3 linked regions of the Sus scrofa genome follow. The protein of the gene in region 3 purifies or fractionates together with the protein of the main gene of each other region. This does not show direct contact. Links are inferred from orthologs where the notes say so. Each region holds a gene or a part of one and is shown on either strand. Other genes may lie near its edges. The genes, in order: EVI5, WDR44 and RAB11A.

Region 1 (5,482 bases), on a different chromosome or scaffold from region 3:
TTTCCGCCATGCTTACCTCTTCCATCAGTGCAGCAACTTTAAGACAACCGGTGAGCCACCATTATTAATACATTATGAACAAGTGAGGGCCATAGTTTACTCGGATTGCCTAAATTTTTGTCTAATGTCCATTTTCTGTTCGAGGATCCCATCCAGGACACCACGTCACACTGAGCTGTCGTGTCTTCTTAGGTCCCTTGGCCAGGACAATTTCTCAGACCTCACGAGTGTTTATTTCCCTGATAGTCTGAAGAGTGCTGGTCATTAGGTATTTTGTAGACTGTCCCTCGACTGGGATTTGTCTCATGCTTCGCTGATTATAGCGGCATTATGGGTTTTTTAGGGGAGGAAGACCACGGGTATACACTATCAGCAGGACAGCACGGCCGAGGCCGACCTGATCACCTGGCTGAGGTGCATCAGGTTTCTGCAAGGCTACTTCATTCTGCCTTCACCAAGAGCTCTTGAGAGAAACATCTCACTCCTAAGGAGAAGACGGTAAGGTTCAAGATGAGTCGGAAATACTTTGCTGCCCTAAAAGTAAGGGAAGTTTCGAGGAATCCTGGGGGCTTGCCAAAAGCACAGAGCAGCCAGCCCGAAAGCACTCCCACTGGACACTACAGGGACAATTTGAGAGTAATGGGTTATAATTCACCACAAAAGTGAGTCACTGGATTCACACTGAAGTAAGCAAACAAACTAGTAAGAAGGGAAACGGCTTCCTTATAGAAGAATGCCAATTAATAAGAAAGAAAAGAGCGAGTGAGAGCATCATAACAGATGTAAATCTGGGGAGCGAAGCACCTTGGCACAAATTACTTAGTAAAAAAAGAAAAATAATAAATTAATAGTTGTGAAACCTGGAGACATCACCTTAACCAAGTAATCAAAGCTGACATCAATTTTGAGACAAGCCAGTACGGTACACCTACTGTACGGTGAACTGAGAAGACACAGCATTACTGGTACACCTGCCAAAAATGAGCAACCTGAATCTAATAACGAGGAAATGTTAGAAAAACCCAAACTATGGCACTTTCTACAAAATAACTGGTTAAGGATCCAGCGTTGCCATGAGCTGTGGTGTAGATAACAGCCGTGGCTCAGATCCTGCATTGCTGTGGCTCTGGTGTAGGCCAGCAGCTACAGCTCCGATTCTACCCCTAGCCTGGGAACCTCCATATGCTGCGGGTGTGGTCCTAAAAAGACAAATAATAATAATAATAATAATAATAATGATTGTATTCTGGAGCCATCTTCAGAAACAACCTCAATCTCCAACTTCTGCCATTTTCCTATCCAACCAAGTTAATGGTCTTCAATTTTTTTTCCTCAGGTACTTGCTAAAAGAATGTTGCCCCTTATATACTTCATTCTTTTTTTTGGCCACACTCACAGCATGTGGAAGTTCCTGGGCTAGGGATAAAACCTGTGCCACAGCAGTCACCCAAGCCATGGCAGTGACAACACCAGATCCTTAACCCGCTTAGCCAGCAGGCAACTCCAACTCCTTATATACTACAAAGGCATCTAAAAAAAAAATTGTTACAGACGTGCATATACTTGTAAAGGAGGTAATTTATACATGCTTCCAATTTTTTCACTAAAACTTTATATGTTAATGCTTGACCCCATGATCACCATTCAACTTTTCAATTCGAACTATAAGCAAGATAAGCCAGCCTTGCCAAGCATTTGTCAGCTGGATGAAATAAGAAGCTACTTCACTGGATTGTTCTTGCTTTGTTCTCTCAGGGGACACTCCTTCTGGAGCAAAAGACTCTGAAATCTCAAGACTCTGCCCTTTAAGGGTCTAACACTTTTCCATTCACACAGGGAAAAAAGTTGCAGAACAGAGAATAACATGGGTCTGCTGGAAGTTTATAGGAACACTGTGACTAGAGGACATAAGCCAGCTGCAAGAACAAAGGATTCCAGCACCAACAAGTTTGCAATGACCGGCCACATTCTGGCCACATCTAGTATAAATGGGGCCTAGGAGTTCCCGTCGTGGCGCAGTGGTTAACGAATCTGACTAGGAACCATGAGGTGGTGGGTTCGGTCCCTGCCCTTGCTCAGTGGGTTAACGATCCGGTGTTGCCGTGAGCTGTGGTGTAGGTTGCAGACGCAGCTCAGATCCCGCGTTGCTGTGGCCCTGGCGTAGGCCGGTGGCTACAGCTCCGATTCGACCCCTAGCCTGGGAACCTCCATATGCCGCGGGAGTGGCCCAAGAAATAGCAAAAAAAAAAAGACAAAATAAATAAATAAATAAATAAAAATAAAAGGGGCCTAAATTCTGACCTGGCTAAGACAGTCACTGGGACACTAGGCCACCACCGACTTGGTCTGCTGAATAAAGCTGCTATTTCTTGTCCCAACATCTTATCTCTGCATTTACTGGCCCGACATGCAGCAAGCATTATGAGCTTGAACTCAGTAAAGACACCTCTAACACAGGAATGTCATCAGGCAGATAAGAGTCAGGAAAGAACACAGACGGAACTGAAAATCTAGTCACCAGGCTCTGAACATTTTCCTGAGTCACAGCAGACTAGACTGTGTACGCAGCTTACAGACATCTCTTACATGTTATACTAACAACCTGCTACAAGGACAACTACCAGGCTGTAATTGTACTAAGCGATTTAATTCTCTGTTCTGCCACCCTCCTACCTACAGGAAGCTTGAACCTTCTCCAGAGCCAGGTCCAAGTCTGAGGTCGTCACACATCCTGAGAGCAGTACTTAGGAGAAAAGGATGAGACTCATACACTTTTAATATTCTTTAATACTGATCAAGTATTACTCGCCAGACTATGCATAAACAGCTACTAACCACTAAGCAGTAGTCAAGGCAGTAAGAAGTAGAGACTGCAAGAGAAAGGAGGAGAAAAAAGAGAAGCATGTTTGCTCTGGTGATCTCTTATCTTGGATGGCACTGCTGTAAAAAGATCACGACTTTCTGAAGGCCCAGATGATGGTCAGCATTTTTTAGCAATTAAGTATTTTTAAGTAAAGTCAAGAGGCAGAAATTGAGATGGCTCCTAAGGTTTTATCGATTACAGAACAGAACAGTCTATAACATCTCTAAATGATGGTGTAATGTGATTGGTTATTAGCAATTTCACAGGTAATTCATAATAGTTCAAGATCAAAAATTGGCTGTTTTTGCAAATTAGAGCTAACTAATTTTAACGACGTAATTCTTACTCATGTTCTAACCCACCTCTGGGGTAGGAATACCCATGGCAGTATAGTGTACATGCTCATGTCATGTAACTTCATGCTGCAGCAGCAAAGACACCGAGAATGGTGGGGCCAGCTCTGCCACTTTAGTAAGCGTCAGGAATGCGAATTTTGACCTCAGGCTAAGATTGATCTAATCACCGGAAGCTCGATGAGTAAGAGCTGTCATTCTTAACACCTTTACCGCATTTCAAAAATTAACCATTGTAAGCCAAGGCTGCATATCTTGAACTTTCACGAAAAAATATACAACAAAGTTTCATTAAAAGCAATACATAATAAATACAATTTTAACTTAATGCCTACCTCACACCTAAAGTGCTGGTTATGCTCATCTTGAACTTACGTGACACACTGGGACCAACGGCGAGGAAAAGAAAGTCTGTGCCTGAGACCACAGCGTCAAAGCGTCTCTAAAACAACACACACGCCGGGTTCCCAGGCCTGCCCGTGTGGGACAGGAAAGGGGATTCTGGAACGTACCGCGCCGTGCGCCCCTAGGGCACTGTGCAACTCTTTAAATCTACGTTCTCCTGAAACCAGTGCCACCAAAGAAAACCCCACAGGTCCCCCAAGTGCGGAGGAAAACTGCCCTCACCAGGAGAATGTCTGGCCGCTTCTACTTAATTTCCTAAATGCACCAACAAACCACCACAACCAAAAATCAGAACAGAAAATACTCACTTTTTCATTTTTTTTGAGTTATATTTGACTTGGTAAGCTGCCTGGATTAACTTGTCTGGGCCACCATCAAACTGATGCGGAATGACCTTCTGAAAGTGCTGACACAGTGAGAGAAACACAGAAGAACTGCTTAGTGCTATTCAGCATCATTTAATAGTAAAATCTAAAGACTGTTAAGACGTCAGGACCCGACTTACCTGTAACATCCCTTCCATGTCGAGCTGCATCAGTTCTGCCTGGTTCATCTGAAGAAGCGCCAATCCTACCCGAAACACTATTTCTAAACCCTGAGGAAACAAATGGTATAAAGTCAAAATTGTCTTACTTTTCCACAGAAAAAAACAATCATTCAAAGGAATAGTAAGGTGAACATTTAGGTAGCTAAACTAGAGGCTGGGAAACACTTTCGGTAAAGAGATGAACCACAAACGTTTTAAGATTTATGAGCCATGTGGTCGCTGCCACAACTCAGCTCTGCTATCCTGCTGCTCCAAAGCAGACACAACTATCACATCAGCAGTGGTCACGGCTATATTCCAGGAAACTATTCAAGTGGAAGGACATGGAGTTCCCATTGTGGCTCAGCGGGTTAAGAACCCAACTAGTATCCATGGGGGTGTGGGTTCATCCCCTGGCCTCGCTCAGTGGGTTAAGGATCCTGCACTGCCACAAGCTGCAGCATAGGTCACAGATGTGGCTCAGATCCAGCATTGCTGTGGATGTGGCATAGGCTGGCAACTGCAGCTCCCCTAGCCCAAGAACTTTCATATGTAACAAGTGTGGCTATAAAAAGCAAAGACAAGTGGAAAGATAGATTTGGCATGTGCACCGGGACAGATCAGTACATGAAGCACAGTGTGCCAGCCCCAGACTAACCTAATGTGGCTTATTATACAAACTGATTTTCCCAAAACGTAATTCATAGTAACTAATAATATCTTCAGGCGCTGGGATGTCCCACTGTGACTCAGAGGGTTAAGAACCCGACTAGTATCCATGAGGACGCAGGTTCGATCTCTGGTCTCGCTCAGTAGGTTAAGGATCTGGCATTGCTGTGAGCTGTGGTGTAGGTCACAGACACAGATTGGATCTGGCATTGCTGTGGCTGCGGCGTAGGCAGGCAGCTGCAGCTCTGATTTGACCCCTAGGCTGGGAACTTCCATGTGTTGCAGGTGCAGCCCTAAAAAGCAAAAGAAAAAAAGAAAGAAAGAAAAAACTCAGGTGCTCTCTACCATCTATCCTGACCTTCCTACCTTCTCACTCAGAATACAGAAGACAAATGATCACTTCATGTCCACGACAATTAAAAGGACTACATGTGACATGTTCACGTACCAGAAGAAACTTAATTATGCTCATTGCTCCTTCCTCTTTGGGTAACAGATACACCACAACAGTATTAACCAGGAGGTCATTTTAACCCCTCACTAATTCTCACTCAGTCAAAAAAGAGGTGATACAGAGGTTTGACTAAGACTATGGGTTCCACCTCCTACAATGCTGGCAGGAATATAAGCTGGTGGAGCTCCTTTGGAAAAAAGTATGGAGGTTCC
Region 2 (5,482 bases), on a different chromosome or scaffold from region 3:
CAGCAGCAGCAGCAAAAAACTGAGGGATATCAGAAAGAAAATAATTTGTCACATATATATAAAAATGCTTTCTAAGATACAATAATAAGAAAGGTGTCTATTAATGTCAGGCATTTTGCTACGTACTTTACATATGTTATCTTTAATTCTTATCACTTCTTTGTGTTTTCAGCTGTATCTTCTTTAAATTAAAATTTTTTTATTTTTGGTTTTTAAGGGCTGCACCTGCAGCATATGGAGGTTCCCAGGCTAGGGGTCAAATTGGAGCTAGAGTTGCCAGCCTACACCACAACTCACAGCAATGCCAGATCCTTAACCCACTGAGCAAGGCCAGGGATCGAACCTGTGTCCTCATGGATGATAGTCAGATTTGTTAACTGCTGAGCCATGACAGGAACTCCTGTATCTTTTTTTTAAATTGAAGTGTAGTTGATTTACAATATTGTGTATAGCAGTTCAAACAGTTTCAGGTATACAGCAAAGTAATTTGGTTATACACATATATATGTATATATCTATATTTTTAATTTTTTTCCATTATAGTTTATTATAAGATATTGAATATAGTTCCCTGTGCTATAGTAAATTCTGTTGCTTACCTATTTCATATCATACTGCGCATCTGTTAATCCCATACTCGCAATTTCCCCTTCCCACTTCCCCTTTGGCAACCATAAGTTAATTTTCTACGTCTGTAAATTTGTTTGTCTTGTAAGTTCACTTGTACTATTTTTTAGATTCTACATATGTGATCTCGTATGATATTTGTCTTTCTCTGAACTTACTTCACTTAGTATGATAATCACTAGGTCCACCTATGTTTCTGTAAATGCATTATTTCATTTTTTATGGCTGAGTAATGTTCTAGTGTGTGTGTGTGTGTGTGTGTGTGTGTGTGTGTGTGTGTATCAGTGCATGTGCATGTATCTTTTTGAATTATAGTTTTGTCTGGATATATGGCCAGGAGTAGGCTTGCTGGATCATATGGCAGTTCTACATTTAGTTTTCTGAGGAAAATACTTTGAGAAACATCCTTTGTGCACTGTATCGTTGTTGTGGCTTTATTAACTCTTTGCAAGGCTTGGTTTAGTCTCTAAAGTGAGAAAACATATTTAATAAACTATTTGGCAGTTGATTTTATTAATACAAACTTGTTTTCATTGGTAACTGGTCCAAAGTTACATGGTTTTACCTTACTCTTAAGAATTAACAGGGACAGTTTTTTTTTATATAATTGGCACTCAATATCACTTGAGGGTTTCTTTTCACTTCCTAATCTGAGCATTTTACATAACTGGAAGTACTATTCATTCTCAAAGAATATGCTGTAGGGAGTTCCTGTCGTGACTCAGTGGTTAACGAATCTGACTAGGAACCATGAGGTTGCGGGTGCAATCCCTGGCCTCACTCAGTGGGTTAAGGATCCAGCATTACCGTGAGCTGTGGTGTAGGTCGCAGACGTGGCTCGGATTCCCGTGTTGCTGTGGCTCTGGCCTAGGCCGGCAGCTACAGCTCCAATTAGACCCCTAGCCTGGGAACCTCCATGTGCCATGCGTGTAGCCCTAGAAAAGACACACACACAAAAAAAGCATATGCTGCAAAGGGCAAGAAATTACAGGCTTGTAAATAGCTATCTATGAGAAGCTGTAAATTTGTGGCAAGTAGAACAGAACACTGCTTTCATTTTGGTTTAATTCACTTATTTAGCAAATGTTTATATAGCATCGACTATATGCAGACAAGCACTGTGCTAGGCACTGGTAGTATGACAACAAATAAAACACATACAGATTATAGTGTAGTAGAAGAGACAGACAATAAATTTTGTATATGTTTAAGTCTTGTTTGCAATTCTCAGAGAGAACAGTTATCCATTAAAAAAAATGACAAACTTTAAAAATTTTCATTCTTCAATTCCCAGGTGAATTTAAAAGAAGTAGAACTTGTAAGAACTATGTTACTGAAATGTTCATAAATGCACATCTGACAACCATTATGTTACAAACAAGAAATATTCTTCATACTCATGAAAACTTCTTCATATTCATGAATACCCATAGGTCAATGAAGCTACTAAATGCTAATAGAAAAAATGTAGGAGAAATAAAATGTGAGTACCTACCAGAGGGCATGGTATCTAAAACCTCAGCATCTTCACCTTTATCATTCCCTTCTGATTTTTCAGATTGCATATCCAAAGACAACATTAAACTTGGGTTTGGAGCAAAGATGGCTGATGTGACAACTGCATTATGGGCTGGGAAAAAAATTTACTTCAGGATAACTAATAAATTTGATTCTAAACATCAAGACAAAAATACATAAAAAATAATAGTGTACATTATATGCAAATATCTTTAAAAACATATAAGCAACTAAGAACTATCAAAAACCCAAAAATACTTCCCAAAAAACCCCAAACTACATATAAGTTCCGAGATTCCATGATGACTTCTCAAATTTTAGACAAGTTCCTCCTCAGTACGGAAAAACCAAACAAAACTAATACAAAGCAAAAGTAGTTAAATTGTCAAACTGTTTCTCTGAAATAATCCCTAAACAAATTTACTTACAGTACATCTCTATTTTAACTTTACTCACTTATAAGGCACACAAAAGTAGCCACTTACTTACCTTTAATACCTTCCCAAAAGTCATTACGATCCCTCCTGACTGAAGTAAACTTGCTTAGGTCATGGTAAGTACTCCAGATATAAACATACTTATCTTCTGAGCCACTAACGAGGTAACTAAAATCATGGCTAAATTTAGGGAAGAAAGAAAAAAAGTCAAATTGTAAGTTTTTTTAGGTTTCCCTCTATCAGAGCTTCCTGGCTTAAAACGCCTATGAAAACATCAAACAGAACTTGTTGAAATATAGACTCTTAGTCTCACTCCAGAGGTTTTGAATGTATAGGTTTGACATAGGGGGCCAGAGGCATTAGTATTTCCATCAAACCTCTAGGTAAATGCTGCTGGGTTAACACACACTGGCAGGAATGCCTACTTAACAGATAAAAGAGAGAACTGGAATATGTTACCAATTAAATTATTGGGTAATTTAAGAAGAAAAGATGGAGTTCCCCTCGTGGCGCAGTGGTTAGCGAATCCGATTGGGAACCATGGGGTTGCGGGTTCGATCCCTGCCCTTGCTCAGTGGGTTGGGGATCTGGCGTTGCCATGAGCTGTGGTGTAGGTCGCAGATGCGGCTCGGATCCCGCGTTGCTGTGGCTCTGGTGTAGGCCGGTGGCTACAGCTCCAATTGGACCCCTAGCCTGGGAACCTCCATATGCCGCCGGAGTGGCCCAAGAAATGGCAAAAAGACAACAACAACAACAACAACAACAACAAAAAAGAGAACTGGTAAGAAAAGGGCTGAAAGAGGGCTATAAAGGGAGAAGAGGTAGGTATTTCATTCAGGAGAGCCTGAAAATCCTAAATTAAGAATTCATATAACAAATATGTTAAGGTATAAACAGAGAATACTGTACTTTAGGGTGTCAAAATGCTTTATTAGCTTCTGTATCTAAAGGGATCAAGACCATGGATGCGGTGGGGGAAGGGAGTAAATTCCTTTTAGAAAGCTTACATAAAAGTACAAAAGCACAAATGCTGGAGCTGGGAGTCTTCTAAACCTGGCTCTGCAACTACCAGTGTAGTGTGACTTTAGGCAAATTACTTAATTTTCTCCATCTCAGTTTCTTCACTTGGAGAGTAGGGGCAATTCGAACTCTATCAAACAAGTGGCTACGCTAAGTACCGCATGACTGATAATATGAGATACCAGCTGTAAACATGCAAAGGAATTAACAATACCATATAAACATAAGGCATAGATCAACAGAAAAATGGGAGTAGGGGAGAAATGTTCTGATCTCCTTCCAGAATTTCTCATTGCCAACTTACCTGAAACTTGCTTTGATCTGGCTGCTGCTGTTGACATACCCCTTATACTTCATGGACAGTGACAAATCTCTAAGATCATATAGTCTGATTCTGGAGTCATTTGAGGTTACCAGTATCTAAAAACAAATGAAAGGAAAAGCTAAAAATACCATCTTTTAATCTGTGTTAAGGTATAACCAAAAAAGGGTATTACACACACAGAGAATATATCTCAAAACTAGAAAAGCAGTATTCCATAGAAAAGGAAATATATTCTTAGCCAAGATATAAAGAACTTACTTTCAGGAGTCTATATATAGTGTGAAGAGAGATGGTTTTGAATACTTAGTACCTTATTTTCTCCAGGTAAAGGCTCAATGCCAGTAATTTTTCTTCCGACCTTGTTACGCCCTCTGGTAGATCGGACATGTATTTGTGTGTGGTATTTCAAATGCTAAAAAGTCACAATTTAAAGAGATCAGAATTAGAAAGAACCTCAAAGATCATCTGAGCCAACTCACAGACAGACGTGGTATTATTTACTCCAGTTTACAGATAAGGCAGTTAAAGCCCAGAGAGGATACACCAACTTATTCCACACTGCAGAAGTGTTTTACTAAGTACGTAACTTATACAAGATATTCCTTTACCTCTGTATCATAGAAAATACACCTGCCATCATATGTTCCAATCACTGCATATTTGCCATTCTGACAGAAATTTGCAGCTGTGATCAATTTTGTTTGACCATCTACTTCATTCCACAAAGCCACTTTTTTGTCAGGTATGTTCCAAAGGCGGAGTTTTCCATCCAATGACCCACTTAGAAAATACCTGTCATCCTAAAATGTGACAAAAGAGAAAGCTTTCATTTTACCACATGAAGAAAAACTCATGAGCAAATCAATACACTGTCTATTAGAAATAATGTTAAAATATGTAGATTTCATTTAAAAAGTATTTATAAAATAAGCAATATTTCATTCACTAAAAATAACAACTAGAAACTTCACTATTCATTTTGGAGAAATGATAGTCTAATCACTTTATCATATCCTTAAACTGCTTTTCCCAAGTTATAGACGTTAACAGATAATGTGTTGGAGTGTAGGTTGTGTGATCAAATAAGTTTGAGAAATTCTGGGTTACCGAAAGTTAAACAGGATTCTCAATTAACATGCATTCTGATTCTCTAAAAGGTGATAAAGTAGGTAGCATTTTTCAACTTATTTAACCACTGAACTTTTGTAGGGAGTTGGCAGAGGGCCAGGAAGGAACATCTAGCAGGGCTAGCACATTCAAGGAACAGGCTTCAGGAAACACTATCCTATAATGGTGCATTTGCCCAGACACTCCTTGGGATACATGCAACTTCTGGATAAAAGAGTAGCTAATGCCAGTTAGCCCACAGAATCAGTCAATTTTTGGAACTCTGACACCCTGTCAGCAAAGAATCACTTCACCATTTAAATTCTTCAATCAAATTCTCAATCTCAAACCAGGGGTTCTCAGCAGATGGCAATTTGGCCTCACAGGAGACATCTAGCAACATCTGGAGACTTTTTTTTTTTTTTTTTTTTTTTTTGGCTGTGCCCTC
Region 3 (6,170 bases):
TGGCCTCACTTAGTGGGTTAGGGACCCAGCATTGCCATGAGCTGTGGTGTGGGTCTCAGACACGGCTCAGATCCCACGTTGCTGTGGCTCCGGCATAGGCCAGCAGCTACAGCTCTGATTAGACACCTAGCCTGGGAACCTCCATATGCCACAGGAGAGGCCCTAGAAAAAAAAAAGACAAAAAATAAAAAAAATTTTTAAAAATCCTCAAGTTCATGGACTCAAACTCAATTTCTAATCAAAACAGTTTCTCATTAAGATTACAATATTTAACTGCTGTTTTAAAATGTGACAAATCATATAACTACATCCTATAGTTCAAGAAAGGAATTTTCAAATGACTTTCCTATATTTTCCATAATTAGTGTCTTAATAGTACTTCCACTTTAAACATTTTATAACTATAGCCATCTATATGACATATATAACACATACATATATACATATGTGAGTGAGTGTGTGTAAGCATTAAATAACAGCACCTATATATAAAAAACATTTATAGCATTTCTAAATCTGGTAATATTCATTACCACTTGGTTAACTTCATCTGCTGAATCTTAAGTACCATCTCTAATACCTCATACTAAATTTGGTTTTTTATACATCAAATATTAGACTGCTAAACAGAATATACATATCAATTGACCATTATTTAATAAAAACTTTCAACTCTTCAACCATATTTAGTTTTATACACTATCTTACAAACTAATGTCCTGGACTAAAATTTAATTCCACAAATCAATCACAGAATCTCAGAATTAAAAGTTATCACCTGAAGGAGTAACTGATGATTTTCATACTAGTTTTTATAAACAAACTTGGAGATCCTTCTACTCTTTCAACTATATTCATAGTCCAACCTCACCAAGAGTCTTTAAAATAAAACACACTCAATAAGGCTGAAATCTAGAGAAGTTTTTCCAGACTCAGCAGAACCCAAATTGCTCAACCAAAAGTTGTGAAAGAAAAACTATCAAGACACAAGATAACAAAGTTCCTATGATCAGTTCCACTGACAATCAAATGAGGTTAATTACTACTGACCTTCAATGAGATTGAAAAGAAAATGGTGTAGACTACTAATCTACATATTTTCAGAAAATGTGACTCTGGATTGGTGTCTACCACAATATTTGTAAACTGGAACTTGATTCGTGTTTCACTTATGTGTCCTGCAGGGCCTTAACCACACTGTATGTAAATATTTGTGGAATTAAAGTTTTTAAAACAAAAAGTCAAGTTTTAAAAAATAAAATAAATTCCCACCATCACCAAAAATCTCACTGTTGAGCTAACTAAAGATTAATATTTGAGAACAAATACATAATTTAGAATAATCCTGCTGGCTCCACATTACATTCCCATTTGGACCACTCCATCCTATACCAATTCAAATATCCCTTCATTTTCAATTGGTTAGAGTTACCAACTAACTTCCAATTCCTTCAACTATTAAGTTTGCTAGGTAAGCCTTCGTCCAAGTATGCAGCTGCAGCATCTCAGACAACAAATCTATGTAGAAGGAAACCATTTTAAAATGAAATTATTGTTGCTTCACTTTAAATTATAATTTTATAAATAAGAAATGGGTTAAATAATCATCACAAGTTAAAAAGTGACTCATATCCTGTAAGAGCTTTAAAAAAGTGGAAATTTTTCTCAGCGCAATTTTTAAAACACCCCATCAAACAGCAAAACATGTAACAAATGAAACCATAACCCATGGAAACAATATTATTTTTTAGAAGATCCCACCTGGTTTTAGGTTTTTTACTAATACTCTCATATTTATAGGTTTAAAGTTTAAAAAAAAAAAACTGACAAGAACCACAGTAACTTCTTTCACATTATTACCATATTTGAGTCCTCACAGAAGCTAACATTTTACAACCTATCTCATTTAATTCTCACACCAGCCCTGAGAGGTATTATTTCTTTTTTATAGATGAGGGAAGAGAGGCTCAAACAAGTCAACTTTCCCAAGGTCACAAAACAAATTTAAGACCTGAGTCAGTATTTGAATCCAGGCCTGGATGATTCCAAAGTGCTGTGCTCTCTCAATCATTGCTTGTAGGATGGTCTAAACCCAAAGCTAAGTTAAAAATCCCCTAAGCCAATCAAGGATAATTAGTGAACTTAGTGAAAAAAATAACTGGCTTCTATAACCAACATCCAAGTTCTAAACCAAACAGGAGAAATATTCTGATAGTTTATCTTGCTCTAAATTAATTACTTCAAAGCTAGCTAGCTAGCTGCCCGCTGTTCTTGTACCTTATTTAAAAAAAACAAATCTCCCTTTAATGACTAACACCGGTCTTCAGAGTCTCACTAAATATTTTCACCAGACCTCAGATGCCTTTAACCAATAGCATACAAATGAATCCATGTTCCCTTTCTGTATCTGTAAAAATGACTTTCCACTATGTGGGAGGTGGGGGTAGGAGTGCATAGTGAAGGTACTCACCCTATATAAAACTTGAGAAGACTAAGTGCTTATAAAGGTATATCATCAGCTATAATGCCAAGATTCGCAAAGTACTGGTAAAGCAATGTTTCTCGCTTTGTTTAGTCAACCATTCTCAGCACCCAGTGGCAAAGTCAGACACAGTCACCAAGCTTAACATTCTTTTTTAACTCCACCCTCCACTGTAAAGCTTTAATAGCAATGGCTTCTTCCTCCCTGGTAATGATCTTTGTTCAGCATACTACTGATGGCTGCCCTCCTAATTCAGGAGCAGAGAAAGAGCATCAGAGAGAGCGCATTCACTGAACAAAAAAAGCATTTACTGTACTTTTCTCTCTGAAAACTGTACCTTTTATCTTTGTTGATTAAAAAAAAAAACAAACTATTTGGATTCTTTCTGGACTAGCCAATAAGCAATTTTTCTTCACTCCACCCTCCAATGTTTTGTCCAAGGGCACTACATGTTTCCCTATCTTATAAAAAATATTTAATTTGACCAAAGAGCACACAACTTCGCCATGCGCCCCCCTCCCAACTCCCATATTTTGGCAAAGGTATGTGACCAACTAGGACTCTTCCCTTCCTGTTCTAAAAACACCAAAAGGTTGGATCCTCCCAGTGTTGCAGCAGGAAGCAACCAGTCCATAGCGATAAAGCAAGCTAGTATTTGTGCAGCGCACAACCTTTCCTGCTCAGGAACTGGGCCTTCAGGTCTGGCAAGGATAACAGCCGCCACCCATCCGCAACCCCTTGTCGGGAGCAGTGTTAAGAGTTATCCTGGGCTGGTTGCCGCTGGGTAGGGAGGGTAGGAGAAAAAAAGGATGGGTGCAAGTCACATCGGTCTGCCGGTCACTGCGACAAGTACGCGCGTGGGTGATGGGACCATCCCTCTTGCCCTAACCCCCACCACCACCACCACCACCCTCAGGGTCGCACAGGAGACACGGGAGAGCTCCTAAACTAAACTATGTGGGGAGAGGAGGCAGAAAAAGAGTTACCAACCACGGGGGCTGTGCGCGAAGGTTACGGACCTCGAGAGCTGTGGGGCGGGTGGGGGTGGGGCCGCTGGCCCGTTTGGGTTTTAACCAGGGCCTGGCCAAGGAGATGGGAGAACCGGACTAGGAGAGGCGTCTGGCCGTGGGGAGGGGCGTGAGGAGACGCAGAGGAGAGGCTTGCCCAAGGGGAAAGGGAGGTTGATAAGAAAAAGACCTGTAGTGGAAGTGTGCGCCGAAGGAAAGGTGTGGGAGCAAAGAGAAAGGCCTGTCAGAGGGGCTCGGGATGTCTGCTGAGGGGGCGCCCAACCCGAAAAGATGGAAGGTGGGAGGGGCTCCCCTTTGAAGAGGCCGTGGAACCCGGGAAATAAGGAAGGCGATGTGGGAGAAGGCAGTCAGCAGCGAGAAGGGGGCACGGTAGGGACGCTGAGGCTTCCTAAGGCCTCCGGGGAGGTCGCTAAGAGCCAGTGTGGAGCCTAAGTGAGGGGGAAAAAAAGGGACTGAGCTGCGAGACGGCAAAACGAACCGCACTGAGAGGAAGGGCTGAGGAAGGCCAATCTCAGAGCCGGGGCAGCCCGCCGGGCGGGTCCCCCGGGAGTGTCCCAGGCCCCCGAACCGGGACTCGGGGGCCTGTCCGAGAGCCCACAGCCTCACCTTTGAAGAGGTAGTCGTACTCGTCGTCGCGGGTGCCCATGGCCAGGCGGAGGAGCGAAGGGGCGGGAGCAGTAGAGAGACCGGTGGGACCAGGGGGCGTCGCTGCAGGGGTAACCCAAGCGCCGAGCTTCAGCTGCCGGACCGGGTGAAGAACCCCTCCCTGCCGCTACGCCACTTCCGGCAGGCCCCAGCCCCTAAGGGGAAGTACTTCCGGGGAGGCAGTACTCCGCCCCTGAATCCAAGAAGGCGGTAGGCGTGAACCTCGTGGGTCTCAAGTTCTGAGCCACTCCAGAAGGTTCCGAGGAGCTACTGAGCCCCGGCCTGTCGACTGACCGCACTCCCAGCTGCTGCTCACCACACTTCCTGGTCTCCTTTATTCCGCGGGCCGCCAGGCGGAGAAGCCGGGCGCTGGAGAGCACTGCAACACTGATTCCTTTGGTGGAACTGTGGATGGGGGCGGGGTTATCTAAGGATTAGAGAGCCGAAGGCGGCCTCTTGAGCGTGTCGGTTCCATGGTGTAATGGTTAGCACTCTGGACTCTGAATCCAGCGATCCGAGTTCAAATCTCGGTGGAACCTAGGACACTTTTTCCTAGCTATGTTTTTATAATTCATTTACTTATTCACTAGGTGATCGAGGTACAACCATGGTATATCTGTCCTTGAACTAAGTAGAGAGGAAATGACACATGTCTTTGCCTGGGAAAACTTCATATAGTTCCCTCTTAAGTTCTGTGCTGTCACCTAGGTGCTTTCTAAGTAGCCTCTGCGCTTCATTTTTTTAAAATGGGCCTTTGGACTTAAACCTGAATTCCAAAGCTTCCGTGACACCTGATTCCTTTTGCTAGAATCAGAATTCCTTTTGCTAGAATTCCATTTCTCCAGGAATTTCTCAAACCATCTCCAGATGTCATTCAAAGAACCTCGCCCACCCTCCTCCTCAAAATTCATCAAGAACTTCTTGCACCCTATTTGTCATCCCCTAAGCTAAACCTAGTTACATAATTATTTCATTTAACACACAGAGCAAAGGATGGCAATTAACATTTTAGCGGAAATGTGGATGGGGAGCCTCAAGAGATTACCGAAGACCACACAGCAGTACCTCCCTGTATTTTAAGAGAGTTTGTTAGGCTAAAAAGTTTTTCCCCTTTATTGTCAAACCCCACTACCACCTATATGCAATTTAGACTTTGGGGCAAGGGTACCTGTAGTAAGCTGAATAATGGTGCCCCAAAGATGTTCACTTCTCAGTCCCAAGGAACTGTGAATATGTTAGGTTACATGGCAAAGGGGAATTGCGTTCGCAGATGGACTTAAGGTTGCAAATCAACTGACTATAAAATAGGGAGATTATAAAAATCATTAATAAATACATATTAAAAGAAATAAAATAGGGAGATTAGCATGGATTCTTCAGGTGCGCCAAATGTCCTCTCGAGTGTTCTTAAAAGTAGGGTAGACAGAGGAGGTCAGTGATGTCATGTGAGAAGGCCTCAACCAGCCCATGTGGCTTTGAACATGGAGAAAGGGGGCCAGGAGCCTAGGAACATAGAAGCTTATTATAGAAGATGGAAAAGGCAAGGAAATTGATTCTTCCCTAAGGCCCCCCAGAAAAGAACACAGCCCTGCTGACATCTTGATTTTAGCCCAGTGAGACTCATGTCAGACTTTTGACCTACAGAATTACAAAATAATAAATGTGTGTTGCTTTAAGTCGCTAAGTTTGTGGTAATTTGTTTCAGCAGCAATAGAAAACTAATACAGTGCCATTTTCGATGCTTTCTGTGACAGTATAAAGCAACAGAAGGTTTACCTAAGGCCTAGATACTGCCTTGAGCATTATCCATGTTAGAGGAGAACAAAATTACTCAAACAGCTAAACATTATGTGTACTACAGATCACTTATGACACTCCTAGCACAACTCAGGTAGATAGTCAGGATGGATGCAAGAAAAGGGGGAGTATCAGTTACCAGACAGGCCTGAAGGAGAGTTCTGGCAACATGCCACAGTTCAGAGGGGCTGAGATAATTAGGAAGAACTCCCTGGAAG

What was found.
Region 1: the proteins of RAB11A (region 3) and EVI5 purify together in Homo sapiens (co-immunoprecipitation; 3 studies listed by BioGRID and IntAct, with this or other methods). This does not show direct contact. The link is inferred for Sus scrofa from reciprocal best matches to the Homo sapiens genes RAB11A and EVI5.
Region 2: the proteins of RAB11A (region 3) and WDR44 purify together in Homo sapiens (affinity purification with mass spectrometry; 3 studies listed by BioGRID and IntAct, counting the BioPlex papers as one, with this or other methods). This does not show direct contact. The link is inferred for Sus scrofa from reciprocal best matches to the Homo sapiens genes RAB11A and WDR44.

What each region holds. Positions count from the first base shown.
Region 1 is NC_010446.5:124,477,478-124,482,959, reverse strand, and holds part of EVI5 (ecotropic viral integration site 5 protein homolog), read right to left. Parts: intron 4,217-5,482; coding exon 4,127-4,216; intron 4,028-4,126; coding exon 3,930-4,027; intron 1-3,929. UniProt on the Homo sapiens protein: Functions as a regulator of cell cycle progression by stabilizing the FBXO5 protein and promoting cyclin-A accumulation during interphase. May play a role in cytokinesis.
Region 2 is NC_010461.5:97,018,446-97,023,927, reverse strand, and holds part of WDR44 (WD repeat-containing protein 44), read right to left. Parts: intron 4,728-5,482; coding exon 4,536-4,727; intron 4,340-4,535; coding exon 4,238-4,339; intron 4,023-4,237; coding exon 3,907-4,022; intron 2,763-3,906; coding exon 2,635-2,762; intron 2,258-2,634; coding exon 2,123-2,257; intron 1-2,122. UniProt on the Homo sapiens protein: Downstream effector for Rab11 which regulates Rab11 intracellular membrane trafficking functions such as endocytic recycling, intracellular ciliogenesis and protein export.
Region 3 is NC_010443.5:163,856,240-163,862,409, reverse strand, and holds the start of RAB11A (ras-related protein Rab-11A), read right to left. Parts: upstream 4,157-6,170; coding exon 4,117-4,156; intron 1-4,116. UniProt on the Homo sapiens protein: The small GTPases Rab are key regulators of intracellular membrane trafficking, from the formation of transport vesicles to their fusion with membranes.